Arabidopsis thaliana: one gene and its partners. The protein of the gene in region 1 interacts with the protein of each later gene in a biochemical or structural test. Each region holds a gene or a part of one and is shown in the gene's direction. Other genes may lie near its edges.

Region 1 (6,843 bases):
AACAGTGTTATGAAACATAAATAATTTCATTTGCAATAACCAAAGAGAATAATATTTATTTATTTTCTTTGGCTCTATCATCTAATAGGAGGAGAAGTAAAAAAAACAGAAGAGAAAGATCCAATCATTCTAGAAAGGAACACAATATGCTTCACGGATCCCAAGAATCTTTCTATGCCTGCCTAAACCCAGCAATATAAATCAAACCTTCACACGCTTCGGTTCTTCTTTACACGTGCCGGAAAAAAAACCCTAGTAGTAGCCGCCCAATGACCATCTAAAGTGGTCCCCGTGATGACACGTGTCAGTTGGACCACTATCCGTAACTTAACATGAAAGCACATGTGGGGTCCCCTCTTTCGTCCTTTGCCCTACCAGTTCCTTGTCCTAGCCCACAATACAATCTACGCGGTATCTATATCAAAGTTTATCTAGCTATTTTCCGAAATAGAAAGCATATACTTCCATTTATTTTTGAACAAATTAAACTTGGTAGAAATAAAATCTTTCGATATTGATTTATTTCGATTTAGTGTAATTCTATTATCATCTCGCGTGTCATTCTAGGCTTATAGCAACAGTGTAGGTATGTTGCAATGTTGGGTTGGTCATGCCGTTTGGATTTATTTCCAGTGATTAATTCAGATTTTATTTTTCTTCTTAATTATCTACGTATAACAAAATCTCGCTAACCGCAGAGTGAATTTGCATGTCACTCATGAATGTTTTGAGTATAAGAAGTGAGTAATTTGTTTTATAAATATATGAACTTATGAAGATACATATTGAAGTTGTTTTGTTTGGGGGTAAAAAAGGTTATTTGAGTGTTATATGATAACTTTACTCAGAAAACGTACTTAGCAAAGGTAATTCGAAGTACCTTTGGAATCGAGTAAATACTGATAACTAGAAAAAATAAGATACATAATGGAGAAATAATTAAATATATTTGTATTTCTTTTTTGTTTAACAACGTACGTTTTATTATTAGCTAGTATACATTTACAACGGTTACGTAGATCATATAATAGCCATTTAAGATGTACAACATCTCATCTGGTTACTTCATTTATATAAAAAAAAAACGAAATCTCAACACATAGTAATGTATAATTACTTCAGTGGGGCTTCTCTTAAGACTTGTATTGAGAATATCCATATAAAACAAACTTTGTATTAAGATAATTAAAATTTTCTAATAGTAGGTATTGGGCTGAAGCCAAGATTAACATGGAGGCAGCTTTAAAATGTTTCCTTATATGATGCAGCCATCATTTCTACTCTACTCCGTAGCTCCAAACCCTTCTCGTAATTCACGTCTCTCATGCTATTCTTTTTGCTTTCGTCCTCCTCTCATGTGAAGCAATAACTATCTCTCGATTTTTTTTTTCAAATACCGAAAGCTAACTTTTTCAAATAAATGTCAAATATATTAATTTTCGTTTTGTATTTAGTATTTTATTTGTCAGCTAAGTATAGTGAGTTTTTAAGCTTACTCGTCGTATTTATCATATATTCATATACATATCACATTAGTCAAAGTAAATAAAAATTTGTTTTTGAAGAAAAAAAAAATACATATAACTGCGAGTCTGCGACTGTAACTGGACTTGCTTATTTTAGTTGATATGAGCTGAGTAAAATCACGTTGTCCCAGACCTTGCTCGCTACAATCGGCGAATGGTCTAACGTCCCGACACCTGTCCTCGATCCGCGGGTACTATATTCTTTGCAATGTGATGCACGCGCTGTTACTATTGGACAGTGTTTCTCACCTCACGACTGAGCCTATGCGAGTAGCGACAATCTCCGATTTGCTGTCTCCATGGTAGGGATTATCACAATCTCTGATTTTTTTTATCAGGAACAAGTAAATAAATAGCTTTGAGTTTTTGTTTTTTTTCTACATTCTTCGCCCAAAAGATGTAAGAAAATAAAGGATTTGAAACCTTGTTCTGTTGTTACTCCTTTAAATTCTTAAAAACTATAAATCATTATATCTTTGATCTGTTTCACAAACTAATCATATTCGTTGCAAAGTGAGAATTCGTCCCACTTTACTCTTTACACCGATACTAGTATTATAGATGTACAGCATAGTATTCCATATCTAGTTATTTAGTCAAAACTCTATATATTAAGAGGTAGGTTAATTAATTAAGGAGTAATTGAAGATTATAGAAAGAATAAAAAATACCATTTAATGGACAGAACCAAAGATAACTAACTATCATACTATAATGTTGAATTTCTTCCACGATCCAATGCATGGATAACAACATCAATCAAATCATACATTCATGCTATATAACATAGTTTTCAGTTACAAACTCTCTTTTTTATTTATTTCAGTTGTTCCTTTTCATGACCATATTAACATCAAATAATGCATTTTTTTCAACGTCTCTTGACTTACACCCACTAATATTGACAAATTGAACATCTATACGACTATACACACATAAGTTAAAAATGCATGCAAGTGCTAAGGGAATTTATAACATCTAAGGTTAATAAGACTAAGAAAGTATAAAATAAGAATACGTATTATGAATTTATGATATACTTTACTAATCTTTTTGAAAAATACTTTAATTTAATCTACTATAGGGGGTAAAAAGTAAAAAAGAAATAAAGATACGTTTATCCGCATATAGTACCTGGAAATAACAGAAAATAAAAACACAGGTAAGTACTTTGCCTGAGCTAGTATATGAACACTAAAGAGATACACACACACAAAAAGAGAGCAGAAACAAAACACACACACTTAAAGCTTTCGTCTTTACCTCTTCCCTTCTCTCTCTCTATCTAAAAAGAGTTCCGAGAAGAAGATCATCATCAATGGCGACTTCTCTCTTCTTCATGTCAACAGATCAAAACTCCGTCGGAAACCCAAACGATCTTCTGAGAAACACCCGTCTTGTCGTCAACAGCTCCGGCGAGATCCGGACAGAGACACTGAAGAGTCGTGGTCGGAAACCAGGATCGAAGACAGGTCAGCAAAAACAGAAGAAACCAACGTTGAGAGGAATGGGTGTAGCAAAGCTCGAGCGTCAGAGAATCGAAGAAGAAAAGAAGCAACTCGCCGCCGCCACAGTCGGAGACACGTCATCAGTAGCATCGATCTCTAACAACGCTACCCGTTTACCCGTACCGGTAGACCCGGGTGTTGTGCTACAAGGCTTCCCAAGCTCACTCGGGAGCAACAGGATCTATTGTGGTGGAGTCGGGTCGGGTCAGGTTATGATCGACCCGGTTATTTCTCCATGGGGTTTTGTTGAGACCTCCTCCACTACTCATGAGCTCTCTTCAATCTCAAATCCTCAAATGTTTAACGCTTCTTCCAATAATCGCTGTGACACTTGCTTCAAGGTTTGTTTGTTTTTTAATCGTTTTCATCAACATGATTGATATATATATAGTTTTTGCACTTGAAAAAGTTTTGATTTTTATTTATGTAAAAAACTGCAGAAGAAACGTTTGGATGGTGATCAGAATAATGTAGTTCGATCCAACGGTGGTGGATTTTCGAAATACACAATGATTCCTCCTCCGATGAACGGCTACGATCAGTATCTTCTTCAATCAGATCATCATCAGAGGAGCCAAGGTTTCCTTTATGATCATAGAATCGCTAGAGCAGCTTCAGTTTCTGCTTCTAGTACTACTATTAATCCTTATTTCAACGAGGCAACAAATCATACGGTACTAAGTATAGTCCATTTATTAATACTCATATATAGGTATATATGTATATAACTGTTGATCTTATTTGATTTAACTGGTGGGTTTAGGGACCAATGGAGGAATTTGGGAGCTACATGGAAGGAAACCCTAGAAATGGATCAGGAGGTGTGAAGGAGTACGAGTTTTTTCCGGGGAAATATGGTGAAAGAGTTTCAGTGGTGGCTAAAACGTCGTCACTCGTAGGTGATTGCAGTCCTAATACCATTGATTTGTCCTTGAAGCTTTAAATGTTTTATCTTTCTATATTGATTTAAACAAAATCGTCTCTTTAAAGAAAAAACATTTTAAGTAGATGAAAGTAAGAAACAGAAGAAAAAAAAGAGAGAGCCTTTTTTGGTGTATGCATCTGAGAGCTGAGTCGAAAGAAAGATTCAGCTTTTGGATTACCCTTTTGGTTGTTTATTATGAGATTCTAACCTAAACACTCAGACATATATGTTCTGTTCTCTTCCTTAATTGTTGTCATGAAACTTCTCTCTCCCTCTCTCTCTCTAAAGTTGTGTCAGATCTTGGGGCTTGTATCCATTTTGTGTTTCTTTAGTTAGGCAATGATCCTGTCATGATTCATGTTATCACCTAATTAATCCTCGGTTTTCGAAACGGTGTCATGCATATCTGATTAATCTTGTTATCTGGTGTGAGATAAATGTATCAAATTGCTCTTGTTTATAGCTTTTCCAATTAATGTCATTGCATAGCATATGGGATGTACAGCTTCGTTTTCGATTTATAAAATTTATACATGTGTTTGGTACGTACTGTTTTGTTTTGGATCAGAATTATAAATTTAGTACAGTATAAACTACTTTAAAAATTGGCCAATGAGAATTTTGAGTTTATCTTCTTTTTATAAGTTGATTGATTTTGCTTTGTTTATTTATAGAAAATATGAAATTTTATCAATTATTTTTGGGATGCTTTTTTATTGATTTTAGTTCGGCTAAAATTAGTTAGATGTTTAAATTTATTAAAACAGATATGCAAAAATTAACTCGATGGTTTTTTTTTTTTTTTTTAGGGGGATAAAAATCGAACTATATAGTTAATTAAAACTTAAAATGTTTTTCTGAACGGCTATTTCACTGATTTTTTAGTAGTTTAAATGTTTTTCACCGAAAATAAAAACAGAATAGGAAACAATACTATAGAAGTCTAACCAAAAAAAGTTCAATATCCAGTAGTTCAATATTTCTAAAAAGAAAATTTCTACACAAAGTTTATGGCAAAAACCTAAGTTATTATGGAGAAAACCAAGTTATTGAAAGTTATAGCGTACTGTATGTACAATCTTTCATCGTGATTTCATGTATTATAGATAAAATTATTCATTGTGGATGTAATGCAAATAGAACCATCCGTAAATCCATGTATTACGGAAAAATTATTCATCACAACTCTTATGTTTGAAAATAGTTAGATTCGGTCTTAGATCATTATTTTAAAAATACAAATAAACAAATACGATCGACAACAATTGCTCAGCAAATTTGACATACTGATAAAGTCATTGTTTGACAAAACACATATGGGCCTTAATATCAAAACACACGGCCCATTATAAAAGTAAACTGATAAGATAAAACAGTTCCCTATGATTCCTCAATAAGCAGCTGCTCAGCACGTTCTCGTAATTTTCAACTTCTTGACAATTTAATACATCCATTATCCAAACAATTAGCAATTAATTACACTTATAAATTAATTTGTAAACTAATTAAAACTGACAAACACGGCTCTCTCTTCTTCATCATCATCATCATCTTCCTCTCGATCGGAAAATAGTCAAAAGTTTCTATAAATTGTTGAATCAAAGCAGAGAAGAAGAAGAAGACGATCATGAATCCAGATTCCGATTATCCTCATCTCCCTAACATCAAGATCCACCATCCTTCATCTCCTCGTCACTCTCACCACCACTCTTCCTCCACTCCTTCCGCCGCTACTCCTACCCCAACCGCCGGTGCTCGCCGTAAGATCGGAGTCGCCGTTGACCTTTCCGAAGAAAGCGCTTTCGCTGTTCGCTGGGCTGTCGATCATTACATCCGTCCCGGAGACGCCGTCGTCATTCTCCACGTTTCTCCAACCTCCGTTCTCTTCGGCGCCGATTGGGGACCTCTCCCTCTCCAAACTCCTCCTCCTCCTTCCGCCGCTACCGATCCCGGAGCTCAGCCGAAGCCTAGTCAGGAAGATTTCGATGCGTTTACTTCTTCCAAAGTAGCGGATCTAGCGAAGCCGTTGAAGGAAGCTGGGTTTCCTCATAAGATCCATATAGTGAAAGATCACGATATGAGAGAGAGGCTTTGCTTAGAGACTGAAAGGCTTAATCTAAGCGCCGTGATAATGGGAAGCAGAGGATTTGGTGCTGAGAAGAGAGGAAGTGATGGCAAGCTTGGCTCTGTTAGTGATTATTGTGTTCACCATTGTGTTTGTCCTGTTGTTGTTGTTAGATATCCTGATGATCGTGATGGTCCTGCTCCTCCTGGGAATGTTGGAGCTACCAGGGAAGCTATTGTCACTGTTAAATCACGTAGGGATGATGACGATGATGATGATGAAGATCATGAGGCTAAGATTGCTGCTGCTGCTTCCGATCATCATGAACACATCAAAGGTTAGGATCCATTCATTACTTTCTCTCGTTGACTTGCTATATAAGGTTGGTGGTGGTGGCATAAGTTTTTGGAATTGTTCTGAATACCTTAGCTTTGTGTTTTCTAGAGATTGCCAATGATGGAAACTTGTAAAACTTAGATCTTTCTATGATTCGTCTTCAGAAATTAGAGTATTGTGACTTTTAATTTGCTCGACTCTGTTTCACCTTGTAGGAGTGGTTTTACGAATGAGCCGGTTACTTAACTTTCTGCTTTAGTATCGAAAAGTATTTGATTTTTCCATATTTTTTTTGTGTCTGTTGCTTTGTTGAGTGTATGTTAAATTTCGTAGCCATTTTTGATGACTATCTAGAAGTTTTTGGAAATTTTCACTGCAATGCAAGAGCAAGTATGGAAATGAACTTCAACGTTTTCTCACTTCATGATTTTCCTACACTGCTTTTGCTCTTCTTTACTAAAACTGGTTGTGTTTCAATTCGAA
Region 2 (7,454 bases), on another chromosome or scaffold:
AGAGGAGGTGCGAAGAAGAGGAAGAAGAAGACGTACACGAAACCTAAGAAGATTAAGCATACGCACAAGAAAGTGAAGCTAGCAGTTCTGCAGTTTTACAAGGTTGATGGAAGTGGGAAAGTTCAGAGGTTGAAGAAAGAGTGTCCTTCTGTTAGTTGTGGTCCTGGAACTTTCATGGCGAGTCATTTCGATAGGCATTATTGTGGGAAATGTGGAACTACTTACGTGTTCAAGAAGGCTGATGAAGAGTAGGTTATGTCTTTTTGCTTTTGGAATTTAGATTGTTTTTTTTTTAATTCAGATATTTTGAGATGGTTTTATACTATTGAGGGATGGTTTAATTGTTGCATAATACATTATATTATCTTTGATTAGAAATTTGATCAATTTTTTTTTTGTTTCATTATGCTTTGACTGATGTGGAAATGTTGAATTGTGGCTGTAGAATTAGGACGTTGTGTTGGAACAATTCTTTGCGACATTGTTTTAGTTTTAACCTGGATTAGTGCAAGGCAAAATTTAGCCATTATGTTGATTCTGATCATATTCTTACACCAATGTCTTGAAGTTTTGTTGTTGTTGGCTCTGATAACTTGTTTGCTAAGATAAGTTTAAATTCTCTCAGATATTGATTATGTGTTTGACATTAACGTGCGTTTGTCTTTGCACATTTTATCGTCATTTCACAGCTTCTATTTATGTTAACAGTGAGATTTGACCAATCTATAAGCTGTCATGTAAAAGTTTGAGACTAGAAATGAGATGTATATCAGTATATATGGAGTAAAAGACTGTTAAACCAGAAGCCATAACTATGATTACAATGTATAATTTTAACCTCTAATCTCTCAAATCACAAATGTGTACCTCCTACTCAATTACTCATCAATAGGCTTATGAAAATGGATCGAAACTTATTAATGGGTCGGTAAATTATGTGATCTCTCAAAATGGGTCGAAACTTGTTCACTCCGGGGTTGGGTCATTGCATTGGATTCCACCCACACAAAAATTACAAATGTGTAGGAAATTGAGTAAATATTAGTATTATGTTTAGTCTTTTTCTTGTGGTTGAACACAAAATAGGAGATGAGAGTAAGTGAGAGAGAGAGAAAGCAATAAAGAGAGGGACAGTAGAAATAACATGACACAGAGAGAAAGCACTGAAACTTGAAGAAATAGAGAGAGAGAGAGAGAGAAGAGTTTGGGTAAAATGGTCAAGAAACAGTTAGCAAAAATGTGAGAGAAGAAAGACAAAATCCTAAGATTCCGAGTTACTAAAAGTGATGAGTCTCCTAGAAACACCCGCACTAGTCTCAACTCACTGCACTTTCATTTTCAGTCTCACTTCAACCAAAACTCCAAAAGACTGTTGAGTTTTGTGAGAGATTCATTAAATCCCATTTAAAGAGACAACTACACATGAGACAAAGAGGCATTTCTTTCTCAACCTCACTTGTTTTTTTCTTTCTTTCTAACTTGCAAACCAAACCACACCACCACATCACATCATTTATTAACCCCAGCTCTCTTCGATGTCTATCTATCTCCTCTTGTGCAACGTGCCTTTCCATTTTCACATGTTCATTTTTAATACTCATACTCTTTACCATCGATTTTTATCTCTTGTTATTTTTTTGTTTAACCTAGTGTTATCTTACAATAACACATATTATCTTGTATGCTTATTTATCAGAAAAATCCTGAAATGGTTTTTGAAGGGAGCTTATATATTTTCTGTTTATAGGTTATTAAGTGTTTTAAATTGTTTTGACAACAAAAAATGTCTCCTCTAATGGTAAACGCTCAAACGTTATGTATCATTTGTCATATATATTTTGTGAGTGTGACATAACATAAAAATCTTATAACAATGCTTTTGTATAACGAAAATTCTTAATTAAACTCCATCATCAACAAAAGTATTATATACATCATTTTATTTTATTTTATTTTAGAGAAGAAAATGTAGTTTGAATATTAAGGAGTTAGGAATGTGATTAATAGAAAGAATGAGAATCATTTACTGCTTACAGCTCATAGAGACTATGAAGATTCCAATTATTACAAGTGAGATAGAGACGTACATAAGTTGAATTGTATTGTGCATTTTAGCATATAACCAAAGCATTCCACATGAAAGATATAAATATAATTACATATTTGCATTAATGAATATTAACAAAACCTATCTCTCTGTCTATATATACACACACACACACACACATATATCTCCTATCATTCATCGTACACACACACTCTCTATGACAAAGCTCCCCAACATGACGACAACACTCAACCATCTATTTGATCTGCCGGGGCAGATTTGCCATGTCCAGTGTGGTTTTTGCACCACTATTTTGCTGGTATACCTTAACTTCTTCTCTTATTCTCTCCCTTCCTTTCTCCCTTCCTCTCTTTATATATATGATCATGAGTTTAATGAGTGTAAATGTGTTGCAGGTGAGTGTACCGTTTACAAGCTTGTCAATGGTGGTGACTGTGAGATGTGGGCATTGCACAAGCCTTCTCTCTGTCAATTTGATGAAGGCTTCCTTCATTCCTCTCCATCTCCTTGCTTCTCTCTCCCATCTTGATGAGGTTTCCATAACATCTATACATAGACAAACACACACCATCTAAATATGACCAATATATATATATATATACTTACTTTTGATTATATGTAAATATATGTGCAGACCGGGAAAGAGGAGGTTGCAGCTACAGATGGTGTGGAAGAAGAAGCATGGAAGGTGAATCAGGAGAAGGAGAACAGTCCAACGACTTTGGTTTCATCTTCAGACAATGAAGATGAAGATGTGTCTCGTGTTTACCAAGTTGTCAATAAACGTACGTTTGAGTATAAATTCAACTTAAACTTTAGTTTTGCGATTTCTCCTTTCATCAGTCGTCTAATTATGTTTTGAGTTTGTATATATATAGCACCTGAGAAGCGACAAAGAGCTCCTTCAGCTTACAATTGCTTCATCAAGTAAGAAATAAATTCAACACATTACATGTGTATGTATATTATATATATTCTTACAAATTTAACCACTTAAGGTTTTGAGTTTGTAAAATGGTTCTTCTTTGGGGGTTGTATTGGAGCAGGGAAGAGATCAGGAGGTTAAAGGCTCAGAATCCAAGCATGGCTCACAAGGAAGCTTTCAGCTTAGCTGCCAAAAATGTACTTAAGCTTAATTAGTCTTAAGATTTAAAAGAAAACCCTAATATAGTTTTCATCTTTTTGTTAGCTTAATTGACAGATCGAGTTAGCTAATAACATTTTATGATTTCAATTTTTTGATTTGGGGATGGCGAAGTGGGCCCATTTTCCTCCAGCTCACAACAAGAGAGCTGCTTCAGATCAATGTTTTTGTGAGGAAGATAACAATGCGATACTACCATGCAATGTTTTTGAGGTAATCCTCAGCAACCATTTATATTTTTTAATCACTTTCGCTTCAAAATCAATTACCATATTCTTGACAAGTAAACTCCACAACAAGTGTCATTTTCCAAAGCAAACCAAATAATTAAAGCATTAACTAGATCCAAATAGCATCGCTCTCAGTCAAAATTTCAGAACCCTAGCTAGACTAATTATATAAAGAGAAATCATTTACTAATTATTAGAGTGAAAGCAAGGAGAAGGGTAAGTGAGATTGTGAGAATATATCATTGATCTTCAACTACTACAATGTGTGAAATTTATGACCTAAACCCTTTTATAGTATTGAAGCTTACACTGCACACAGTTTACTTTTATAGAAACCCATTCAACTAATTTAAAACATTGAAGCTGAATATGTATAGTTTTCAATTAATATACCAAATAATTGTTGAAATGTTTGTGATGCAGGACCATGAAGAAAGCAATAATGGGTTCCGAGAGAGAAAGGCTCAGAGGCATTCCATTTGGGGAAAATCTCCATTTGAGTAATAACAATTTGGGATATGAAAATTTAACAAAAAAATAAATAATGGCGTATGACATGTGATGGTGACTCTTTTCTTCTAGGGTTTGATTATGTTGGTTTAGGGTTTCTGTTGTTGGAGAGAGATAGAGAGAAGAAGAATCTGAAACGGAAGTAGGATTTGTGTGTGTTCGAGAAGAGTCCTTGGGAATGAGCGAGTTTGTTCAGTAATTTCGTAGTACTTGTCAACTTTGAACTTAATTTGAAGAGACATGCATTGACTCTATAAAAAAAATTCTACTTTTGCATTCATGACTACTCTTATTCCATGAATGTTTTAACATTCCATGAAACAGTACTTTAGTAAGAATCTTTGTTAACCTATCATAATAAAGATCCTTCTTGACTTCGCGCGCTCAATGCTTTTGTACGTACGATGGAGAAAAACACTTACTAAAAAAAAAACACTTTTTGTTTTGACATTTGACCTTTCTAAGTTACTTTTTTTTTTTGTCGTCTGAAAATTTATTATAGAGATTCCGGTGAAATACAAAAGTGAAATATAAAGCCGGCGGTTAACAAGTAACACCAGAAAACTAAGCCGACGATTAAAAGGATAGTCTTGGAAGCAAAACCCAAAGGAAAGGGAGACAACAAGGCAAAACAAACCTTACAAACAAAGCAAAGTTGCGAAACTGAAACAAAGAAGCAGACCAAAACAACCAAAATTTTAAACACAACATCTCGTCAACCACATTACCAGACAAAGGAAAGGCAGAGCTTTACAACAAGCCACTCCGTAGGAGACAAGGAACTCCCAACCAAACGGACAGCGGTGCCACCTATTACGATGAAGACTACCTTACATAGAAGAGTTCCAAGGAATCCATACCGGCGAGAAGAACTAGGCCAAAGACGACAAGTCACACCTACACTCCCGGAATCGGCGAATTAAAGAATATGATTGTTTAGCGCCTCGAAGGAAACCAGCCAATGAACAGATGAGATCTCGATCAGATCTTTAGAGTAGAGACAAGGAGAGAACCAAATCAATTCGGACCACACCGAAAAAGAAAAACGGGAGGAGATCGAACCGGACAGAAACGAAAGCAACCACCAAGCCTGGTAAGAGGCTAAACGAGAAGAAGGCTAAAACATGACCGGATCAAGAGGCGCTACTAGCAACATAGACCAACCCACAAAAACAACATAAGCCATCTAAGAACCATTCGAAAATCCCTACACCACAACGCACATAAACTAAGTAAAAGCAACATAAACTTTACAACAGAGCAAGAGACGCATAGCTCCGGCGCTATGGAAGCCACCAAAGCCAGCCAACGCAAACTGAGATCTAGATCTACTTTTAGAGAGAATGAAGAGGTTTTAGAGTCCTCCATTCTTTACACAAATTATTATTAATTTGATCTTTCTAAGTTACTAGTATATAAAATATATAACCATCAATATTCACGAAACAAGAAAGCTAAAGAAATCAATTTCCATGATTGAAGTTACTTTGACAGTATAAATTACTTCATCCTAAACTATATTAACATGCACTTTTTTCTTTTAGCTTAAAAAACCAGAGCAAGTCTGATCTTGCAAATGCATGAAAATCAAGAGTTGGATCTATCGGAATCCTTTATTATATCATTGACTTTTTTTGCAGTAAACTGCCAGTGGATCTCATGAATCTAAAGAAACCATAGTTAAAACTTAAACCTGAACCGATCAAAAATTAAACTCGTTAGTCTTTTGTCACGGCGAGGGGATAATAAGAAGAAAAAAATTATATCAGAAGAGTGTTTTTTTTCGGATAAAGAACTAATATACTTGTCAATGAGCTTAATTTGTTTTTGTTTGCTTTACACTACGGACGGCTCTGACCGTACGAACAAAATTATTAAGGAAAATCATAATTAAGAGGTTGACATTGCATTTTAGATATTGGTGTAAATTATTTGTTATATATACTTTATTCAAAATTCTCTATGTATGTACATGTTAACGATCCTTTACTGGAAAACTTAAACATCTTCCATGCCATGTTTAAATTTGTTTTCACGTTTTTTTATTTTGAGCTAAACTGATATTTCTTTGTGTATTCTGAAATATTTTTGGATTTTGGTATTGGTTAAGGTTATAATTTTCCAGCTGAAAAGGATGAATTCTCTAAAAGTTTTCAAAGATAGGGTATCATTTCAAAATACATTTTTTAAAAAGGTTTGCTTCTCCTAATTTCATATTATCTTTTTGACGTCACCACTCACCACTATTGAAAAAGCATTTCTTAATTTTCTTTAACAAATGGAGTTAGTAGAATATTATTATCTGCACGTTTTCCCTATCTAATAACAGGGGTAATTTCGTAAATCCCCCTTCAACAACTAATTAATGTGCCGGAATCGCAACTTCTTAAACTTCTACCAATAACAATACGCCACGTCATCATTCTTCCCTGTCATCGATTACCTCAGACGGTGTCGGAGACGTTTCATTCTCCGGCCTTTAGTGGCATTTTCTCGTAAATAAATTCATAATCTGTGGGCGAACCTTTGGCGTCGTGTTTATAATAAAGTCCACCGCGAAATCTCTATTATTCGCCACAACAACAACAACAACAACAACCCAAAACCCAATTTTGTTACCTCTTCTTTCCTCAATCCTAAAGTCAAAACAAACAAAAAGCTTCCATTTTTTTTCTTTGATTATCTTCAATCGGAATTTCAGGTAACGAAAAAAAAAATCCGATCTTTAATCATCAAATCACCTAACTGGGTCAACTATTTGATCAAATCGATAACTGATGGATTGATTTGGTTTTGCTTATCGTAACTTTTGATTTTCAGGTGTGAGAGATGGGTTCTGAAGGACCAAAAGCAATAACGATTCATGTGACTGGTTTCAAGAAATTTCTTGGGGTTTCAGAGAATCCTACTGAGAAGATAGCTAATGGTTTGAAATCGTATGTGGAGAAACGAGGTTTGCCTTCTGGATTGTGTCTTGGTAGCTGTAGTGTTCTTGACACTGCTGGGGAAGGTGCAAAATCTAAGCTTTATGAGGTTTTGGAGTCTAGTGTTGTCTCTGGAGATAAGAACAACAATGGAACTGTTGTCTGGGTAAGCCTCTTACTTATTTCTTGATCATCATTGTTATAATCTGTCTCAGTCTTAACTGGTTATAGACTTTAGAGTTATAGCTTAAGTTTAAGTCTAACTTGGATTTACAGTTTCCTCTTTTTTAGTTTGGGTATTGTATTTTCATATATATATATATATATATATATATATATATATATATATATATATAGAGTCGAAGCTCTTGTTGGTGATCATCATTCAAAAAGTTAAGAGAGCTTTTAGTGCAATCGGTTTCAGCGAGAAAGAGAGTTATCTCTTTGGGAGCTTCGCTTGATTAAATGGTTTGGATTTTGAATTGTGTTTGACTTGCAACCAATAGTCTATAAGAGATGACATCAACAGTAACTGCACGAACAGAGGGACGTTCTGATGCGTTAGAGACGAACCAAGA
Region 3 (10,839 bases), on another chromosome or scaffold:
GCACATGTACCTAGTGACTCATAATGAAACGTATCATAATGGATTGACGAGTAGTTGTCTGATATTGACATCTTAATTTATAACTTCCCTTTTCATTGTTAATGTTCCTTACTGTCTTCTGATTGATAATAAAGACGTTGACATGTCAAACCACATAATTATTTGAAAAATATATATTATTTCTTCAGATTTTCATCATTTGTTATAAGTCTCGATAAGACAGTTTTTGTTTTTTTAACAATTTTTTACAAAAAACTTACGACCATAATTTAGTTCAGGCGAAAATCAGTGAATCATTAATCATATTTATTAGTTTGGATTTTTATGTGTTTTTCTTTTTATGTATTTGAGGATTTTTCAGTTTGTGAAAACAAATCTAATATGCTTATTTGATTTCTTCTTTATTTGCTGTATTCTTAATATATCTTGCAGAGCTAAGGTAATACTCAAATTTTTTTTTTCCACACGTAAAAACTCATATTTATCAGTTTGGAATTACTGTATTCTTTTTAGTAGTCCTCTCACTCGCCATGGCAAGAAGAAGGTTTTTTTTTCCTTTTTCTTGCATTCCATGTTAATCAGTATTTGAATAAAAAAGCAAGCTAAATCGGCAAATGAACTTATATCCAAATAATCAAGATATCAATCTGTGTAAGCATTACTAGAAAAGTAGAGATACTCGTGTTACCGTGTAAATTAAAAGAATAAAAATGTGCTTTTCAAAAGTTATATACTTTTCTTGTGCACCCATAACTTTAGCAAAAGCAACCATCATCATTCTTGAGCAATTAAAACAAATAATATTGATCTTCATTTGGTGCCAAAATACTTTACGGTAATGACGTCAAACTCGATGTTTCTTGTCAAAGTCTGAAAGACCAATATAAAATAACACTAGACACATTATAAAATTAACATATTGGTTCATTGTAATTAAACCGTCGAATATATATAACGAAAATACCAATTACGCTGTGAATAAACAAACAAAATCATTTTATTAGTCATCGAGTAAATAAATTCGATTATAATCCTCAATAGTCAATATATATATAGCTCACATCACATTATGCGATTAACAAAAACAATCCAAAACAGTTAAATGATTAGAAATTAAACGAGTCTCACTAAATTATTAACGACTCCAAATCACGAGAAGGCTTAAGAGTTATCATGTCGGGAGAATTTAACTGATAACCTCTTCCATTATCTCTCAATCACGTGATTTTTGTTCAACGAGTACCGCATCTCAAGAATAAAAATGGCAATTTAGGTAAATATTTGTCATTTTCAAGGGCAATGGAACTTAAAGATGCATTTCAGAAGGAAAAGCTTTGTCGTGTTATGAGGGAAATGTGGGGACGCAGCTACTTCGCTTTCAAACCGTTGGATGAATATCCTTTAAGGTTCATCGTACAAGATCGACGGCACTCACCGAGGGTGTACTCATGTTGTGACACAGAGGATCATGTCTACTTGGAGTACAGCTAGCAGCTAGAGATTCTGAGCCGATAACGTCGAGAATTGTAGCCGGCTAAGTCGTATATGCTGGTTTAAACTTTAATCTGTACTTATATATAAGTCAACGTGCTTATCAAAATCAGCTCCCTTATCGTGTGATAGGTGCATTGTCTTATTAGACTCCGTTATCCGTCACCTTCGCATATTAAAATCACTTTTTATTTTTTGGTTTTAAATTAAAGTCTCCATTTCTGCAAGATTTTAATGTTCGTATAAATAAGCCTGAAGAGAGAGAGAGAGAGAGAGAGAAAACTTGTTTTTTTTTTTTCCATTAGTTTTTTTCTTACTTTCTGGTCGAGAGAGGAGAGTCCAAAAAACCCAAATCCTTGGCCTCTTTCAATATCAGGAGAGAGAAACTGAAGCTCTGGCCTTTGTTTCTGAAATCGATCGTCTTCTTCTTCTTCATGGCAAGTAACGTATCTAGGTCTTTCATTTTTGGTTTAATATCTAAATCGTAGCTTTTCTGGGTTTTTGATTTTTGTTTTTGTCTCATGGAAGTGAAAAAGATGGCCATTTTAAGCTTTATATTTAATTCGGTGGACAATAATAATACTAGGAAGACCTAATTTTTGTGTAGCCCAATTAAACACTAATTAAATCCGCCGGAATAGAGACTTTTGGAGAATTTTCCGGAGGATAGTTGTAAAGATCTAGTTATATACTGTGTAATTAAGAGGCTGTGTCTATTTTCATTTTTTAAAAATAATAATTAAATGGAGGAATATCTGAAACCCAGTAAATTGGGATGATTTGATGGTTTTGTAAGGTTATCATCGTCGCCATTATATTGATATGCAGATCTGGTGGGTTTTTCTGCATCTGACTTGATAGCTTTATCGGACTGAGTGGCAAAATCAATCATGTCTTCTCTGAGCAGAGAGCTCGTCTTCTTGATCTTACAGTTTTTAGATGAAGAGAAGTTTAAAGAGACTGTTCATAAGTATGTCCGATCTCTCTTTTCCTTTTTGTCTTTTATTAGGCATTATTATTAACTTGATTGATTATTAATTAGGCTTGAACAAGAATCTGGGTTTTTCTTCAATATGAAGTATTTTGAGGATGAGGTGCACAATGGTAACTGGGATGAGGTTGAGAAGTATCTCTCTGGTTTTACTAAAGTTGATGATAATCGATACTCCATGAAGATTTTCTTCGAGATTAGGAAGCAGAAGTATCTCGAGGCCTTGGATAGGTAACTTGTGTCTCTCAACAACAACAAGAATCAAATGTTTTCATATTGCCAATCAATCACACCTGCTGCTGCTTCTATCTAGGCATGATCGTCCCAAGGCTGTCGATATTTTAGTCAAAGATTTGAAAGTGTTTTCCACTTTTAATGAGGAGCTTTTCAAGGAAATCACTCAGCTCTTGACCTTAGAAAACTTCAGGGAGAACGAGCAGTTATCCAAGTATGGGGACACAAAGTCCGCCAGAGCTATCATGTTGGTGGAACTCAAGAAGTTGATTGAAGCTAATCCTTTATTCCGTGATAAATTGCAGTTTCCTACCCTTAGAACTTCACGCCTCAGGACTCTGATTAATCAGAGGTATTCTTTGTCCTTTCTTGTTCACTTCAACAAATTTTCTTCTTGTCAGCTACTTTAACTCCTTGTTTCTATGTGGCTACATAAACCTGCAGCTTAAATTGGCAACACCAGCTTTGTAAGAACCCAAGGCCTAATCCTGATATTAAGACTCTCTTTGTCGATCATTCCTGCCGCCTACCAAATGATGCACGAGCACCATCCCCTGTCAACAATCCGCTTCTTGGATCATTACCAAAAGCCGAGGGATTTCCTCCTCTAGGCGCACACGGGGTAGGTCAATTTCCACCTGATTTTTCGTATTTTCTATAAGTGCCATTTCTACTGCTTTTGGTTCTAGCTCTATAGTTACCTTTACATGCCGTGCTTGACTTACCTTTATGTCTTTAGCCTTTTCAACCAACACCTTCTCCGGTTCCGACACCTCTTGCTGGTTGGATGTCTAGTCCTTCCTCTGTCCCACATCCAGCTGTGTCTGGAGGACCCATTGCTCTTGGTGCTCCATCCATCCAAGGTTATTTGCTTATCAAATGTGGTGTTTCTTTATAAAAGCTGTGTGGAACTATAGTCTTAAATTTTATCCTCGCCTTTTTTTCAGAACCTTTAAGTTTCACCTGTGATCTATGTAACATGTTCTCCTTTTTGGTTCTTAGCAGCCTTGAAACACCCGAGAACTCCTCCTTCTAATTCCGCTGTAGACTATCCATCAGGTGACTCAGACCATGTCTCAAAGCGAACCAGACCTATGGGAATCTCTGACGAGGTGAGAAAAATCTTAATTAATATTATATATTTTCTTATCAATACCAATTTTACATAATTGGTAGTACTAGTTTAGACTTTAAACGTATTTCTTCTTTCTCCCCATATGTAGGTGAGTCTAGGTGTGAACATGTTACCAATGACATTCCCGGGGCAGGCTCATGGTCATAATCAAACCTTCAAAGCACCTGATGACTTGCCCAAGACAGTTGCACGAACTTTGAGCCAAGGCTCATCTCCCATGAGCATGGATTTCCATCCTATTAAACAGACTCTGCTACTAGGTCTGTTTCTTGGTCTGTATGCATATTTCATGTAACATACATCATCAGAAATTTTGTAAAACCAGAAGTTTCTTGCTTCAATTTTCTTTGTTCCAGTTGGTACGAATGTAGGGGATATTGGGCTCTGGGAAGTCGGTTCTCGAGAACGTCTAGTCCAGAAGACTTTCAAAGTTTGGGACTTGAGTAAATGTTCGATGCCCTTGCAGGTGTCTTCTTTTGTGAAAATCAACCAGAATATTAATATCTAATATCTATTTGAAACTTCAGTGACCAACAATTCTGGTCTTTATAGGCTGCTTTGGTGAAAGAACCTGTCGTTTCTGTCAACCGTGTGATTTGGAGCCCGGACGGTTCCCTATTCGGTAAGACTTGAGATTACAAATGCTCTTTCAACCGATTTGAGTATTCATATGCGCACGTTTTCAACTGCAGGAGTTGCTTATTCGAGACATATTGTACAGCTATACTCTTATCACGGTGGTGAAGACATGAGGCAACACCTTGAGGTGTGATATAGTTTACAACAACATTTTAGGAGTATTTCTTTCATTTCCTGTAATGAAAATCATTTTTTATTATTTCAGATTGATGCTCATGTTGGCGGTGTCAATGACATTGCATTTTCCACTCCGAACAAGCAACTATGTGTTACTACTTGTGGTGATGACAAAACCATCAAGGTTCAGTATTTTTTTTCTTCTTTCATTTCCTTAACTCTTGTTTTTTTTTTTTTTTGTTGGAACTCTAAAAACAGACTAATCAATTCTGTGAATTAAGGTCTGGGATGCTGCAACGGGTGTAAAACGGTATACTTTTGAAGGCCATGAAGCTCCTGTTTACTCTATCTGCCCTCACTACAAGGAAAACATTCAGGTAAAGTAGCAATATTTATACGGTTTCATTTTTGCTAAGTACAAGTTGAAATTCGTTTCTATTTGGTTTTGACTTGTTTATTTCTTCTTCTGCTTAAGTTTATCTTTTCAACTGCTCTTGACGGAAAAATAAAAGCATGGTTATATGATAATATGGGTTCTCGGGTTGACTACGAAGCTCCTGGTCGCTGGTGTACAACGATGGCCTACAGTGCTGATGGAACTAGGTTATAACATGATTCTCATCATCTTTATGTTGTGGTTCTGTTCTGTATCGTCATGAAGTGATAATAAATTTAAAATCTATTTTTTATTATATTCACATGGATAGGCTATTTTCTTGTGGGACGAGTAAAGATGGGGAATCGTTCATAGTTGAGTGGAATGAAAGCGAAGGAGCTGTGAAGAGAACTTATCAAGGATTCCACAAGCGTTCCCTTGGTGTTGTCCAGTTTGATACTACTAAAAACCGTTATCTCGCTGCGGGTGACGACTTCTCCATTAAGTTCTGGGATATGGACACCATACAGCTTTTGACTGCCATTGATGCTGATGGAGGTCTCCAGGTATGCAAACAAATACCTCGATTCTCCCTGGGAACCGAATGTTTTCATTTGCAGCCATCATGGCTCTCTATGTTTTGTAGGCAAGTCCACGGATCAGATTTAACAAGGAAGGCTCTCTCTTGGCTGTTTCCGCAAATGACAATATGATTAAGGTTATGGCAAACTCAGATGGTCTAAGGCTATTGCACACAGTCGAGAACTTATCTTCTGAATCCTCCAAGGTACTGAATTTTGTGCTCACTGGATCTTCAACAAGCAAATTACTAACCCCCAATTTGAAATTTCTTCAACACTTTATTTTTCATGTACATTTGCAGCCTGCAATCAACAGCATTCCGATGGTAGAGAGACCTGCCTCTGTCGTTTCCATCCCTGGAATGGTACGAAAATCGATACTTTTTCCGTCAGTTTCTCTATCTCTTGGTCTGGGTCCAATCATCGTTGTTGATCACTTACCTTTCCAACAGAATGGAGATTCGCGGAATATGGTGGATGTGAAGCCAGTGATTACCGAAGAATCAAATGATAAGTCTAAGGTATGGAAGCTTACTGAAGTCGGCGAACCCTCTCAGTGCCGTTCATTGAGACTCCCTGAGAATATGAGAGTCACCAAGGTACTAACACATAGACTGACATAACTGTACTTATATGGCTTGATTCTAATGACTCAAAACTTGAGCAGATATCGAGATTGATTTTCACAAATTCGGGAAATGCAATTTTGGCATTGGCATCAAATGCTATTCATCTGCTATGGAAGTGGCAGCGAAATGACCGTAATGCAACTGGGAAGGTACTTATGGTCTAAAATCTTCCTTTAAGATCGCCAAAAGAGTTGAAATCATGATGAAATTCAATTTGAGATTTTGTGTAGGCAACGGCTTCTTTACCTCCTCAGCAGTGGCAACCAGCGAGCGGGATCTTAATGACAAACGATGTGGCTGAAACTAATCCAGAAGAAGCCGTACCCTGTTTTGCTTTATCGAAAAATGATTCCTACGTGATGTCAGCATCGGGAGGAAAGATCTCTTTGTTTAATATGATGACGTTTAAGGTAAAATCCCAGCTACAGACAGCACTATGTCTAATGTATGCAAACAATGCTTCATCTGTTACATTTAATTGTGTTGTTGGCTAAGCGCAGACAATGGCTACTTTCATGCCGCCTCCTCCTGCCGCAACGTTTCTTGCTTTTCACCCTCAAGATAACAATATCATTGCGATCGGGATGGATGACAGTACAATACAGATTTACAATGTTCGTGTTGATGAGGTTAAGAGCAAGCTTAAAGGACATTCTAAGAGAATAACCGGCCTCGCTTTCTCCAATGTATTAAACGTTCTGGTTTCGTCTGGAGCAGACGCTCAGGTGCTGATTCATCTCATGTTTTGTAATAAAGAATCCAAATCCTTAGAAGTCTTAGTGTGAATCTTTTGGTTTTTGTATGCAGCTTTGCGTATGGAACACGGATGGATGGGAGAAGCAGAAAAGCAAGGTTCTGCAAATTCCACAGGGAAGATCCACGTCTTCTTTGTCAGACACGCGTGTTCAGTTTCATCAAGATCAAGTACACTTCCTTGTGGTCCATGAAACTCAGCTCGCTATATACGAAACAACCAAGCTTGAATGCATGAAACAGGTTTTAGTCTTTATATATGTTCATTCTCTCTCCTTGCATCTGAGTAACCCTTATAGAAGAAAGAAATGTCTTTATTTTGATTCCAGTGGCCTGTGCGTGAATCAGCAGCTCCAATAACACATGCCACATTCTCATGTGATAGCCAATTGATATACACAAGTTTCATGGACGCTACAATATGCGTCTTCAGCTCTGCAAACCTTCGATTGCGTTGCAGAGTCAATCCCTCTGCATATTTGCCAGCTTCTCTCAGGTGAGTTAATGAAATGAATATAAACTAGTGCAATGTTGGATCATGAATCTTGAGTCTTCATGTTGATGTTTTGTGCAGCAACTCGAATGTCCATCCACTGGTGATAGCGGCTCATCCGCAAGAATCCAACATGTTTGCAGTGGGTCTGTCAGACGGAGGGGTCCATATATTCGAGCCGCTTGAGTCAGAAGGTAAATGGGGAGTAGCTCCACCGCCTGAAAATGGCTCAGCCAGCGCTGTCACGGCTACACCTTCCGTTGGAGCTTCTGCCTCTGACCAGCCTCAGAGATGATCTGCTTCAGTTTCTTACTCTGTTTTTTTTGTGGGGGTTTTAGATCTTTTCCGATTTATTATTGTTTTGTTTGTGTGGGGGGAAGAAAGCATTCTAACAAGGTAAATGAATTAATAGCTTACAAGTTCTTCTTAATTGGTTAATTCGATGTTGCTTGCCTCTGATATTTTGGTCTTGAGAAATATCAGTTTTGCAAAAGGACGAATTTGCAATTTTGCACTCCGAATCTAAGCACGAACTAAGGATTGAATGCCACGTGCAGCTTCGAGATAGGTTTGGATATTCGTTTTGAGATACGAAGGAAGAATTACTAAGGCCTATGCGGCCCACGGCCCACAGACTTATATATCTACAATGATAAATATCTTCAAAAATAGTAATTTTGAGAAAATATTGAGAAGAGACAGAGAAAAAAAATCGAGTGAAAATTATCTGGTGTGTGTATCTAGAAGAAGCTACAGAGTGGGACGAGGTTTAAACTCGCCAATCGCCATTGACCTCTCGCTTGCTTTCTTTAACTAAAATGGCGACGCTATCAACACTAGAGATTGCTACGACCTTCCTCTCTTTCACCGCTCCTCGTTCCTCTGCCGCCTTCAACTATCGCTTTTCTTCTGCCGCCGTCTCTGTTCTCTCCAGGCCCAGAGCTACCACCGTTTCCGTCAGAACGACGCCGTCTTTCTTCTATTCCCCGGTGGTCCGCCGTCAAAGATTCTCATCTGTCTCCGCCTCAGCTACGCAGACTGAAGATTCTGATGTCACCACTAAGATTCCGCCAGATAACCGGATTCCGGCTACTATTATCACCGGTTTTTTGGGCTCTGGCAAGGTCAGTCAGTGTTTCTCATCATTTCATATCTATTCTAGGGTTTAAAATTAGCCCTGCTAAGTAAAAGAAATGTTGGACTAATTATACTGCAATGTTTTGTTTTTCCACAGACAACATTGCTGAATCATATACTGACCAGAGATCATGGGAAGCGAATAGCCGTGATTGAGAATGAGGTTAGCTTATTATCCTCGCCTGAATTCAGTTATAATGGTGTTGCTTTCTAATTCATGTTTCATGTGAATTCTCTCAGTTTGGTGAAGTTGACATTGATGGGTCACTTGTTGCTTCTAAATCTATTGGAGCTGAGGATATTGTGATGCTCAACAATGGCTGCCTTTGTTGCACTGTTAGGGGTGATCTTGTCAGGATGATTGGAGAATTAGTCAATACCAAGAAAGGAAAGTTCGATCATATAGTCATAGAGACTACAGGTTGGGAAAGGGGGCATTTTCATTTAGTATGCTTAGAGAATCTGGGGAATGAGTAATGACTATCTTATGTTTATTTTCACTTTTTAGGATTGGCAAACCCGGCACCGATTATCCAAACCTTTTATGCCGAGGAAGAAATTTTCAATGATGTCAAACTGGACGGTGTTGTTACTCTAGTTGATGCTAAGCATGCTCGTTTGCATCTAGACGAGGTCAAACCCGAAGGTGTTGTCAATGAGGCTGTTGAACAAATAGCTTATGCAGATCGTATCATAGTTAACAAGGTAACCAAAGTTTTGAACACAATTGTCTCAAAGAGAATGTGATAGTTTTTGTGATCTTGAGTGGTTGAATCTCTTCTATCATAAGATTCAGGTCGTTCCTCTCTCAAATAGTTTATAGTTTACAAATAAATTCATTTGCACAAATGGTTTTGACACGTCCTAAGTGATGGATCCATATGTTTTACTCAAATATATTGAGAAGTTATCGGTTGTATTGTTTTTGTTGGCATATCCAATTTCTGAAAAGTGACTGTACTTTGTTGCAGACTGATCTTGTTGGTGAGGCGGAATTAGGTTCGGTGGTACAACGCATAAAGGTCGGTCTCACATCTTCTTCGTATTCATTTATTTCACTAGATGATTATATGTTAGTCTCTCAGACCATTCTTGGTTATAATGTTAACGTATTTGCTATGGTTATCTACAGACAATAAACAGCATGGCTCAGATGACGCGAACAAAGTACGGAAATGTTGACTTAGATTATGTTCTTGGAATTGGAGGTTTTGATCTAGAGAGGTCTGCTTCTTGTTTAACTTATGATAATATTCAGTTTGGTGTCTTGTAGCTTCACACAGTTATTAAGGTGTTCTTTGCTTTATCAGAATCGAAAGCTCTGTGAATGAAGATGATAAGGGAGATCACCATGATCACGACCATGATCATCATCATGATCACAACCATGACCACGACCATCATCACCACGATGGACATGGTAAGTTTATTAGGAAACCTTGATTTAGTTATATTGATTGCATGCTCCAGCTTTACGAACATGGATTGTTGGTTCTGGTCTCTCTCATCACAACCTAATCAGTCTCTGATTCTTAAACCTCAGATCATCATCATCATTCTCATGATCACACCCATGATCCCGGTGTTTCTTCAGTCAGTATAGTTTGCGAAGGAAGCTTAGACCTTGAGAAGGTAATATAGATAATATGCAGCTTGAGAGGCACACAAAAGTCTCATATAAAACGACTGTTTGATGAAACCGTATGTTAATCTTCAAATTGTGTCACAATCCATCAGGCAAACATGTGGCTCGGGACGTTACTGATGGAACGCAGTGAAGACATCTACAGAATGAAAGGTCTCCTCTCGGTCCACACCATGGAGGAGAGATTCGTGTTTCAAGGAGTCCATGACATATTTCAAGGATCACCAGACAGGTTATGGGGAAGAGAGGAGGAGAGAGTGAATAAGATCGTTTTCATTGGTAAGAATTTGAACAGGGAGGAGTTAGAGAAGGGTTTTAAAGCTTGCTTGATTTGATTTTTGCACTAGCTCTATGTATACTGAGGAAATGGTCACCGGCGTTGTTGTAACTCGATTTTAAGTGCCAAAGGATATAAACGTCATTACTCTTGGTTCTCCTCTGTGCATCACCATTGTGGCGGAGATATTTCCAACTTAAGTAGAGAACGTAGTAGCAATAAAGTTATGCATGTTTGTTGTGTTCATATTTGGGAAAAACGAAAAAAAGAACTTTGTAAGAAAATAACAATAGAGATCTCGATGAGATATAACAAAAGTCGATCAAATTATAGATTCAACT
Region 4 (7,707 bases), on another chromosome or scaffold:
CCATCGCCCAAATTGCGACAAAAGTGTGGGCTAACCCTAACATTATATACGTTTCTAGTAAAGTATGATCAGACCAACATTTTCAACGTTTCCTTCCTTATAACCAAAAATTATGCACGCCTTAATACTCAAAACTTCCGCCTTTTATATTTGCATCTTTGGTCGACCTTTTACCGATATAACCACCTTTTTTTCTTTGTCAAACACTTATATGACCACTTAAATGTTATTAATTGTGAGGCAATAAATAGTAGCTGATTGCAATATTTCGGAGCTTGATTCTTCATATGTTAAGTTATGCTGAATTTACAAAATAATGTGTTTTTTTCGGTAACCGAATGTTAGGGATTGCACAACCATATGAATAATTGCTTGTGAGATTACGAAATATTAACTAACTTAACCACTTAAATGTTGTTTGGGGGCAGGAAATACTAGTAGCAATAACACGATTGATTTTGCATTACATAATCTAATTCTATGATTCTTCGGATCGATTAGTAACAAATACTAATTAATATTGATATACAAGCTAAGGAGTTATTTTCAATTGGTGGGACAAAACATATATGATATATGCATTGCATCATTTTCGCAAGTAGGTGCATAGATATTTTCTTAGACATCTATACTTGAAATGAGAATGGAATATTATATAAAATCATATGTAGGTTTGAAATTAATTACGTGTGGAGTTTTGCTCGTGGCTTTCACCAATATGGTGTTCCTATATATACGTACATATTCATGGCGCTTTTAAAACTATCATTGAGAAACACTACATTAGTATATTGGCTGTTTCCCTTGTATAATTCTTAGTTAAAAAGAGTTTTCTTATCCAGCAAAAGCAATACAAACTAAAAATAAAATTGTAATCTAGAAAATAGCTAGGAAGATAAATCATATAGTTTCCTTATCCTAATCAATGAAATTCGGATACACATTTGAGAGCGTGCGTAAATTATTAAGTGATAAATGCCAAATATTTTAAAACAACAAAATAACGATTTAAGTTAAACGGAAATATAAAACTAGTATATTGATAAGCAGCCGGTTAACTCGGAAATTTTAACTACAAAAATAGAATTAATTTACTTTCGCTTTCATGGAAAGTCTAGACTTGGATGATTCCAAATATTCAAATGGAGGGGGAAAAAACAATCATATAATTGACTAAAAAGCTAATGATAACCAATCAATAAAAATGGAGCATCATGTTTATCTCTACATATACATACATGATACAAACAAACAAAACAAAGTATGTTTCAATTGAAATTAAATACTAATAATTAAAAAAAAAATTAAAAAAATAGGAAAGGAATTGTATAGAGAAACGAGAAAAAGTAATGGCAGTGGTAATTAAGGAATGACAACAACGGGTGAATGAGGCGACGCTTAATCACTCCCATGCACACGTCCCTTTCTTCCCCCCACCTCTGCCGCCCTCTCTCTCTCCTCTCTTCTCTTCCTCCATTGGGAACTGCGAATTCTATTGTCAAAGCTTTAAAACTTTTTTCACTTAAATTTTTTTTCAAGAGCTTCGTCGTTTCTTAACTTACTTGCAAACACATTACATGTGTCATCACGTGCAACCCCAACCCCAAAGCCTAAGCTCGCGAATCTTCTAATGTATGCCTCAATCTTCCCTTGTTCATACTAGTACTACAATATCTTCTTCCTAAGATTTCAAAATTGATCATGAAGTGGTTTGTAGTTTAGTGGTCATCGCTATATTGATCCAATCTCATATTTTTGTCGAAAGTTTTGTATAGTAGCTATAAATTTGATTCTTTAGTTAGAATTTCTTGTTCTATTTATATAGAAACATAAATGCCTATAGCTATTTTCATATATTAACATGTGCTTTTAATTGTATAGACCAAAATTTAATTGATTGCAAAATTAGGTTTGTAATTGTTTGAGATCAGATAGAAAAAGGTCCATCTTTAAGCGATAATATCCTCAAAACTATTTTGTCATCAGTCTTGTCTCCTTGTGACCACAAGGTCATCTTAGAGGTACAACGGTATAGATGCTTAATGTCTACGTTTTCTAGTAAGGGTGAGACCGCATGGTCAACCGAATTTCTAATATAGGCATTATCAAAAAGAAATCTTATATTGGATGTTGACAACAAAGATTTAATAATAACTCGCATCATTTGACTAATTAAAAATTAAAAAAGATCTAAGTGAGATGTATATTTTTATCAAAAAAAAAGAAGTGATATTTGTAAAGAAATTGTCCAATTCTTTTGTCAATTAATATTATGTTCAAAGTAATTTAACATTTGTTTAATATCTGGATCCACTTGTCAAGATTATGCATTTTGTGATAAATAAAAACAAAGAGTGCGGTATAGTGGTGGTACAATTCAATTGTTATGTGGCAATACAATTTATAAGAATATACGGAAAAGGTATAAAAAAAACTGTTTGTGAAAAAAATGAACTGCTTATTCAAATGGTGTTTAGGGTGTAGTTCCGAAACTTATTAAAAAAACTAATGTATGTTTATTTTATCGATCATAAATTTTATTCGGCCACTTGATTTAATGAAAAATTATATAAATAGTTATTGTCTTATTAAACACCGGCATATTTATTTTTATTTGGTTTGTGTTATCTGTTCTACACCATCCAAACTTATTCCATTTATGTTGCTGGTTCACTACCGCTGACTCTGTTATACTATTCAAAACCTAAAATTGTATATAACCCATTGGAGAATTTCTTTAAAGAATATATGTATCGCTGAATTGAAATGTATAATACACCACATTATATATATACACACAGTATTACCGAATTAATTAACGAAATTAATAGTAGACGACCTAGAGGCTACAATTAGAGCATTTGTTGTTTAATTTTTACCCTCTAATATATTAATATCCCCTTTCCCTTCTCACTCCTTTCACCTCTTCTCTCTCTATATATCTTCCTTTGTGGTATATAATACACAGCAACCCAACAATCAAGAAGATCAGATCATGGTGGGGTTTTTTATTTTCTCCTTATCAAGAATCCTCTGATCAGTCAAATACCCATCAATCAATCAAATCCCCAAACACTCCCAAAAAAAGATCAGCTTCCAATATTTTTCCCCTTCTTACAAAAAAGATGTCTATGTCGTCTATGTCCTCCCCTTCCTCAGCTGTTTGTTCACCGGACCACTTCTCTCCTTCCGACCATCTCTGCTATGTCCAATGCAACTTTTGCCAAACCATCCTTGCGGTACAAAATAACCTCTCTTCAATACTTTCTCTCTCATTTTTTCTCCTCCAACTTCTCATCTTCTTGATCTATACAAGATTAGGGGTTTTTTAAATTCATTGTTTCTTTTGTGTGCTTATAGGTTAATGTTCCTTACACAAGCTTGTTCAAGACCGTAACTGTCCGATGTGGTTGCTGTACCAATCTCCTTTCGGTGAACATGAGATCATATGTCCTCCCAGCTTCTAACCAGCTCCAGCTCCAGCTCGGTCCTCACTCTTACTTCAATCCCCAGGATATTCTGGTACTTAAACAAAATTCAAATACATAATCTTATAGGGTCTCATTTAGCTTATTGGAAGTAATCTCAAGCCTCAAGGATATAAATATTATTGTAGGAGGAGCTGAGAGATGCACCGTCTAACATGAATATGATGATGATGAATCAACATCCTACTATGAATGACATACCATCTTTCATGGATCTTCATCAACAACATGAGATTCCTAAAGCACCACCCGTTAACCGCCGTAAGATACTAATTCTTCTCACTTTTATGATATTAACTTCTATGCTAACCGTGTTTATAATTTGGTTGTGATGATGAATCGCCATTAAGACATGCATAGCTTTTCTTATTTAACTTTCACTGGATCTCGTTCAAACCCTAGCACCATTGAATTAAGTCTAGAAGGAGATTTTTTACCTTTCTTTTCTTTGTATACTAGAAGGAGACATGAGAGATTATGATTTTGTATATTTAAAATATTCATTGATCCATGAACTTTAGTATGTGTTGATTGTCTACATATCCTAGATGGCTTTTAGCGTTGGTAAACATTAAAATAGTGACGATAAAAGAAACGGGGAGATAGATTCATGGATCCCCCGGAAATCTAGCTAAAGAGAAAAAATCTATGTAATATGTTAGAAGATGGGCTTGTCTTTAAAAAAACATGATGAAGTGATGATGGGTTAGAGAGAGAAAGTATTTGTGTGAGAGAGAAAAAAGACAATGAAAGTAGTTTTAATGAGTGTTTGTCTCTTTCTGTCTGAGTTTTTGTTTTTTCGCTTTGTCTTTGCCGTTGAATTTCGCCATTGCCAGCTCCAGAGAAAAGACAGAGAGTCCCATCCGCATATAACCGATTCATCAAGTGAGTCTCTTATTTAATTTTTACAATCATTCATATTCTAACCATAACTGTGTAACATTAATATAATTCCTTGTCACGTTTTTATTTTAGGGAGGAGATCCAACGTATCAAAGCTGGTAATCCTGATATAAGCCACAGAGAAGCCTTTAGTGCTGCTGCCAAGAATGTAAGAACCTTATTTCTCACATCCCAAAAATTTATATTAAACTGTTATCCATTGGTTGAATCAAATTTTAATAATCAAAAGAGTCCTTGATAATCCATATTTATCTCTAGTTCAATAAAAAAATTATTTTTTTAAACGCTGAAAATTCTAGTTAGAAGTGATGCGTTTTAAGTATTCTTTGTTTTCCTTTACTAAAGAATTTAAGCCATTGATACTACTAACATCACAACTTGGTTTAGATTGCCGGCAGAAACTAGGGTTTGATTTTATCTATGCGTATAGTTGCTCTTGTATTAGTTGTATATATATTAAACAGTCATATATGTAGGTATAGCTGAAATTAGGAGTAAAGAATTTTGTCGGGTTATAACACAAGTTGATATGTGTCTTGTACGTATGTTGTTTATGTGTAATGCAGTGGGCCCACTTCCCCCACATACACTTCGGGCTCGTGCCAGACAATCAACCCGTGAAGAAAACCAACATGCCCCAACAGGTAAACCCTAATCTGTCGACATACCTTACATCTTTAATGCATATACTTTTATGTAATATCATATATACAAATATAATTTCAATTGATTTGGATCATATCTTAAACATGTGTGTAGGAGGGAGAGGATAACATGGTGATGAAAGAAGGGTTCTACGCTCCTGCAGCTGCTAACGTTGGTGTGACTCCTTATTAAAGAGATAAATATAATCGACTAAGTATTTGAGGAATTGAAATCCAATTTCTTAGGGTTTATCATGTCCAAAAGTTGTGGTTTCTTTTCCTTTCTTGAACTTATTTATATATATTATAAATATGCATGTGTCTTTTTCTGTTGTTGTAATCAAAAATCTTGCTAATTAATGGGGTTTCTTAAGTTAATTTTCATTTGTAGTTGTATAATTAATTAACTTATCAAAATGTTTTCTTATTATTACTGAAAGCCGAATTTGAAATTTAAATAATCAGACTTTTTTAATAGATTTTTACACCATCGCCATATGTAAAAGAAACTCAAAGGAAATTACAACCACCAATTAATCCAAAGCTTTTTTTCCTCCAGAATGAATATATCACAAAAATTTAACCGAAGAGAAAACAAGAGGGGAATGATCATATTACATTTCAAAATTCAAACTAAACTAAGAATGGAAATATGCACAAGCATTTGCTTCCCGAAAACATGTAAAACGATGTGATTCTGTTCAAATTTCTCCATTCAAAATCTGATTCTTGAGATTGTTGCATATGGTTCAATCTTATTGCTCCCATTAATGGTTTTATAATAGTGATATGGTATAATTAAATAAGAACTGGGGCATGCATCAAACGACAATTGTTGTCAAAATAGAGGGAAATTAAAAGTTAAGATAAATTTATTTCGTAAGATCAAAAATTCAGTGATAGCAATAAGCTAATCTAAAAGTGTATATCAGACTTAAATTTAACTCGTCTTTTTTTCTTTTGGTGCAATATAGAGCGGTGGATATAAGTAGCAAATCAAACAAAAATGACATTAGGATATGAGCAAGCATGATAAATAACAAAAAAAAAACGTTTTGGGTCAAGTGACTATATGTTATCAGGCCTACTAGAATTCGGCCCATTAATATTAATGACGAGTTTCCTTAGCAATCAGTGGGCCTGGTATACAATAATGCGATGATAATAAAATGATTTAAATCCTTCTTTTTTTTTTCTTTTTTTTTTTGGACTAAAAAATGATTTAAATCCTTAGCACCGGATCCCAACGGAAATTGCTTCTCAGAATAGTTTTCTTCAGTCTCCGACTATATTTATTTCATTTTCCGATCATCGTACTATACACTCCCCAACATCGAGTAAACAAGCTTAGTTGTCAATTTACGAGTTCCAAAAGAAGAATCCAACAAAACGCAGTGTTTCGTTACTTCTAGACCCATCTAATTTCTACGTGTTGTATGCAACAATGACGGCTTTACCCTTTCGCTTTCTAATGTGGTCCATGTTGTTCTGGACTTATAGGTCCATATGGGCCTATGTTGGGTTGGATAATAATTAACCAATAAGAGACCACGTAGAGACCCTCTAAACCAAATAGAGGCGTTGAAGCATGAGCACGAATAGAAGAGCGTTATGATTGAATGTCATTTATGGACGAGAGGAGAAATACTAAGAACATAAAATCCATTAACAAGCTCAAGCATTACATCAAACTCAATATTGAGAGAACAAAGGTTCTATCATGAACAAGCTCAAGCATTACATCAAACTCAACAGTGACAGAACAAAGCTTTTTCTCACAAAAACAATAGATAACAGTAGAAACAAACATATAAAAACATAGCAAACCAAAGAGATTTTTCTCTTTTAAAGTCTCAAATCTTCAAGAACATTGGAAACCATGAGGAACTTTCTTGCCACAATAGTTCAACAGCAAGGTTAGATCAATAGGAACATTGAGATTAATCCCCAAGACATTGGCTTTAAGAGCGGTGCAGAGACAAACCGCAGCTTCAAGATTAGCAAGACCTTGAAGAAGTGTACAACAAGGAGTCTTTGGTGGAGAACCAACAACAACGTTAACTAGGCCCAATAAGTCTGCGCAAACACCAAGCTTAAGTGTGTCGGTAGGACAAGTGGGTTTCACGGCAGGAGCCTTCTTAGGCGATTTCGGGGTTTTTGGGGGTTTAGGAGTAGTTGGTGGACATTTTGTGGAGGTTACAAAGGTGAAGAAAAGAAGATTAAGTGTAATAAGAAGAGCTGTAACTGCAAGAGCCTTAGAAGCCATTGTAACGTTTTGTAATGTTTTGGGATGAATGTGAAGGAGAGATATAGGACATGGTTTATATAGAACAAGTTATTACTAATTACATATACCGAGAGATAAAATAGCATGTGAGCGACTTAAGAAAATTAGAGTAAGAAACAAAACTATCCAGCTAGTTGGCTTTTGCAACTTGAGGTCTTGAAATTGATTAGACTATTTTTTAGGAATTGTTAATTTATTTTTCTATCACAGAAAGGGAAAAGACAAGATTTTTGTCTTGTTTGTTTGTGAAAGAAGAGGCTCCACAAACTTTGAGACAGAGTGTCTCTCTGGGTGGTATGCATCAGTTTGATCATAGTTGTGTAGATCCATTATACGTTGTTGATAAGATATTGTTTTACATTGCATTAGTCCCCATTCCTTTAGA

Evidence for each region.
Region 2: the proteins of SPL (region 1) and INO form a complex in vitro, tested with the Arabidopsis thaliana proteins (one study listed by BioGRID).
Region 3: the proteins of SPL (region 1) and TPR1 form a complex in vitro, tested with the Arabidopsis thaliana proteins (one study listed by BioGRID).
Region 4: the proteins of SPL (region 1) and AFO form a complex in vitro, tested with the Arabidopsis thaliana proteins (one study listed by BioGRID).

Annotation. Positions count from the first base shown.
Region 1 is NC_003075.7:13,679,461-13,686,303, reverse strand, and holds SPL (sporocyteless (SPL)), read left to right. Parts: upstream 1-2,709; 5' UTR 2,710-2,844; coding exon 2,845-3,375; intron 3,376-3,474; coding exon 3,475-3,708; intron 3,709-3,797; coding exon 3,798-3,977; 3' UTR 3,978-4,226; downstream 4,227-6,843. Other genes in the region: PHOS34 (Adenine nucleotide alpha hydrolases-like superfamily protein), read left to right, coding at 5,587-6,361. UniProt on the Arabidopsis thaliana protein: Transcriptional regulator of sporocyte development. Acts as an adapter-like transcriptional repressor recruiting TPL/TPR corepressors to inhibit TCP transcription factors. Required for nucellus and embryo sac development.
Region 2 is NC_003070.9:8,315,159-8,322,612, forward strand, and holds INO (Plant-specific transcription factor YABBY family protein), read left to right. Parts: upstream 1-2,138; 5' UTR 2,139-2,171; coding exon 2,172-2,366; intron 2,367-2,463; coding exon 2,464-2,601; intron 2,602-2,702; coding exon 2,703-2,853; intron 2,854-2,946; coding exon 2,947-2,995; intron 2,996-3,114; coding exon 3,115-3,190; intron 3,191-3,326; coding exon 3,327-3,425; intron 3,426-3,865; coding exon 3,866-3,946; 3' UTR 3,947-4,333; downstream 4,334-7,454. Other genes in the region: AT1G23410 (Ribosomal protein S27a / Ubiquitin family protein), read left to right, coding at 1-252; AT1G23440 (Peptidase C15, pyroglutamyl peptidase I-like protein), read left to right, coding at 6,782-7,042. UniProt on the Arabidopsis thaliana protein: Essential for the formation and the abaxial-adaxial asymmetric growth of the ovule outer integument.
Region 3 is NC_003070.9:30,257,989-30,268,827, reverse strand, and holds TPR1 (TOPLESS-related 1), read left to right. Parts: upstream 1-1,702; 5' UTR 1,703-1,928; intron 1,929-2,287; exon of another isoform or gene 2,288-2,319; 5' UTR 2,320-2,381; coding exon 2,382-2,461; intron 2,462-2,533; coding exon 2,534-2,713; intron 2,714-2,795; coding exon 2,796-3,068; intron 3,069-3,160; coding exon 3,161-3,338; intron 3,339-3,455; coding exon 3,456-3,579; intron 3,580-3,718; coding exon 3,719-3,828; intron 3,829-3,939; coding exon 3,940-4,111; intron 4,112-4,207; coding exon 4,208-4,317; intron 4,318-4,403; coding exon 4,404-4,473; intron 4,474-4,543; coding exon 4,544-4,617; intron 4,618-4,695; coding exon 4,696-4,791; intron 4,792-4,888; coding exon 4,889-4,984; intron 4,985-5,082; coding exon 5,083-5,210; intron 5,211-5,314; coding exon 5,315-5,549; intron 5,550-5,629; coding exon 5,630-5,770; intron 5,771-5,866; coding exon 5,867-5,929; intron 5,930-6,016; coding exon 6,017-6,163; intron 6,164-6,231; coding exon 6,232-6,342; and 12 more. Other genes in the region: PTAC17 (plastid transcriptionally active 17), read left to right, coding at 8,258-8,563, 8,674-8,739, 8,817-8,997, 9,085-9,281, 9,548-9,598, 9,709-9,800, 9,887-9,996, 10,120-10,208 and 1 more. UniProt on the Arabidopsis thaliana protein: Transcriptional corepressor. Activates TIR-NB-LRR R protein-mediated immune responses through repression of negative regulators such as CNGC2/DND1. Negative regulator of jasmonate responses.
Region 4 is NC_003071.7:18,625,971-18,633,677, reverse strand, and holds AFO (Plant-specific transcription factor YABBY family protein), read left to right. Parts: upstream 1-2,898; 5' UTR 2,899-3,125; coding exon 3,126-3,239; intron 3,240-3,249; exon of another isoform or gene 3,250-3,360; coding exon 3,361-3,522; intron 3,523-3,616; coding exon 3,617-3,749; intron 3,750-4,324; coding exon 4,325-4,373; intron 4,374-4,463; coding exon 4,464-4,539; intron 4,540-4,957; coding exon 4,958-5,035; intron 5,036-5,150; coding exon 5,151-5,228; 3' UTR 5,229-5,426; downstream 5,427-7,707. Other genes in the region: AT2G45180 (Bifunctional inhibitor/lipid-transfer protein/seed storage 2S albumin superfamily protein), read right to left, coding at 6,897-7,301.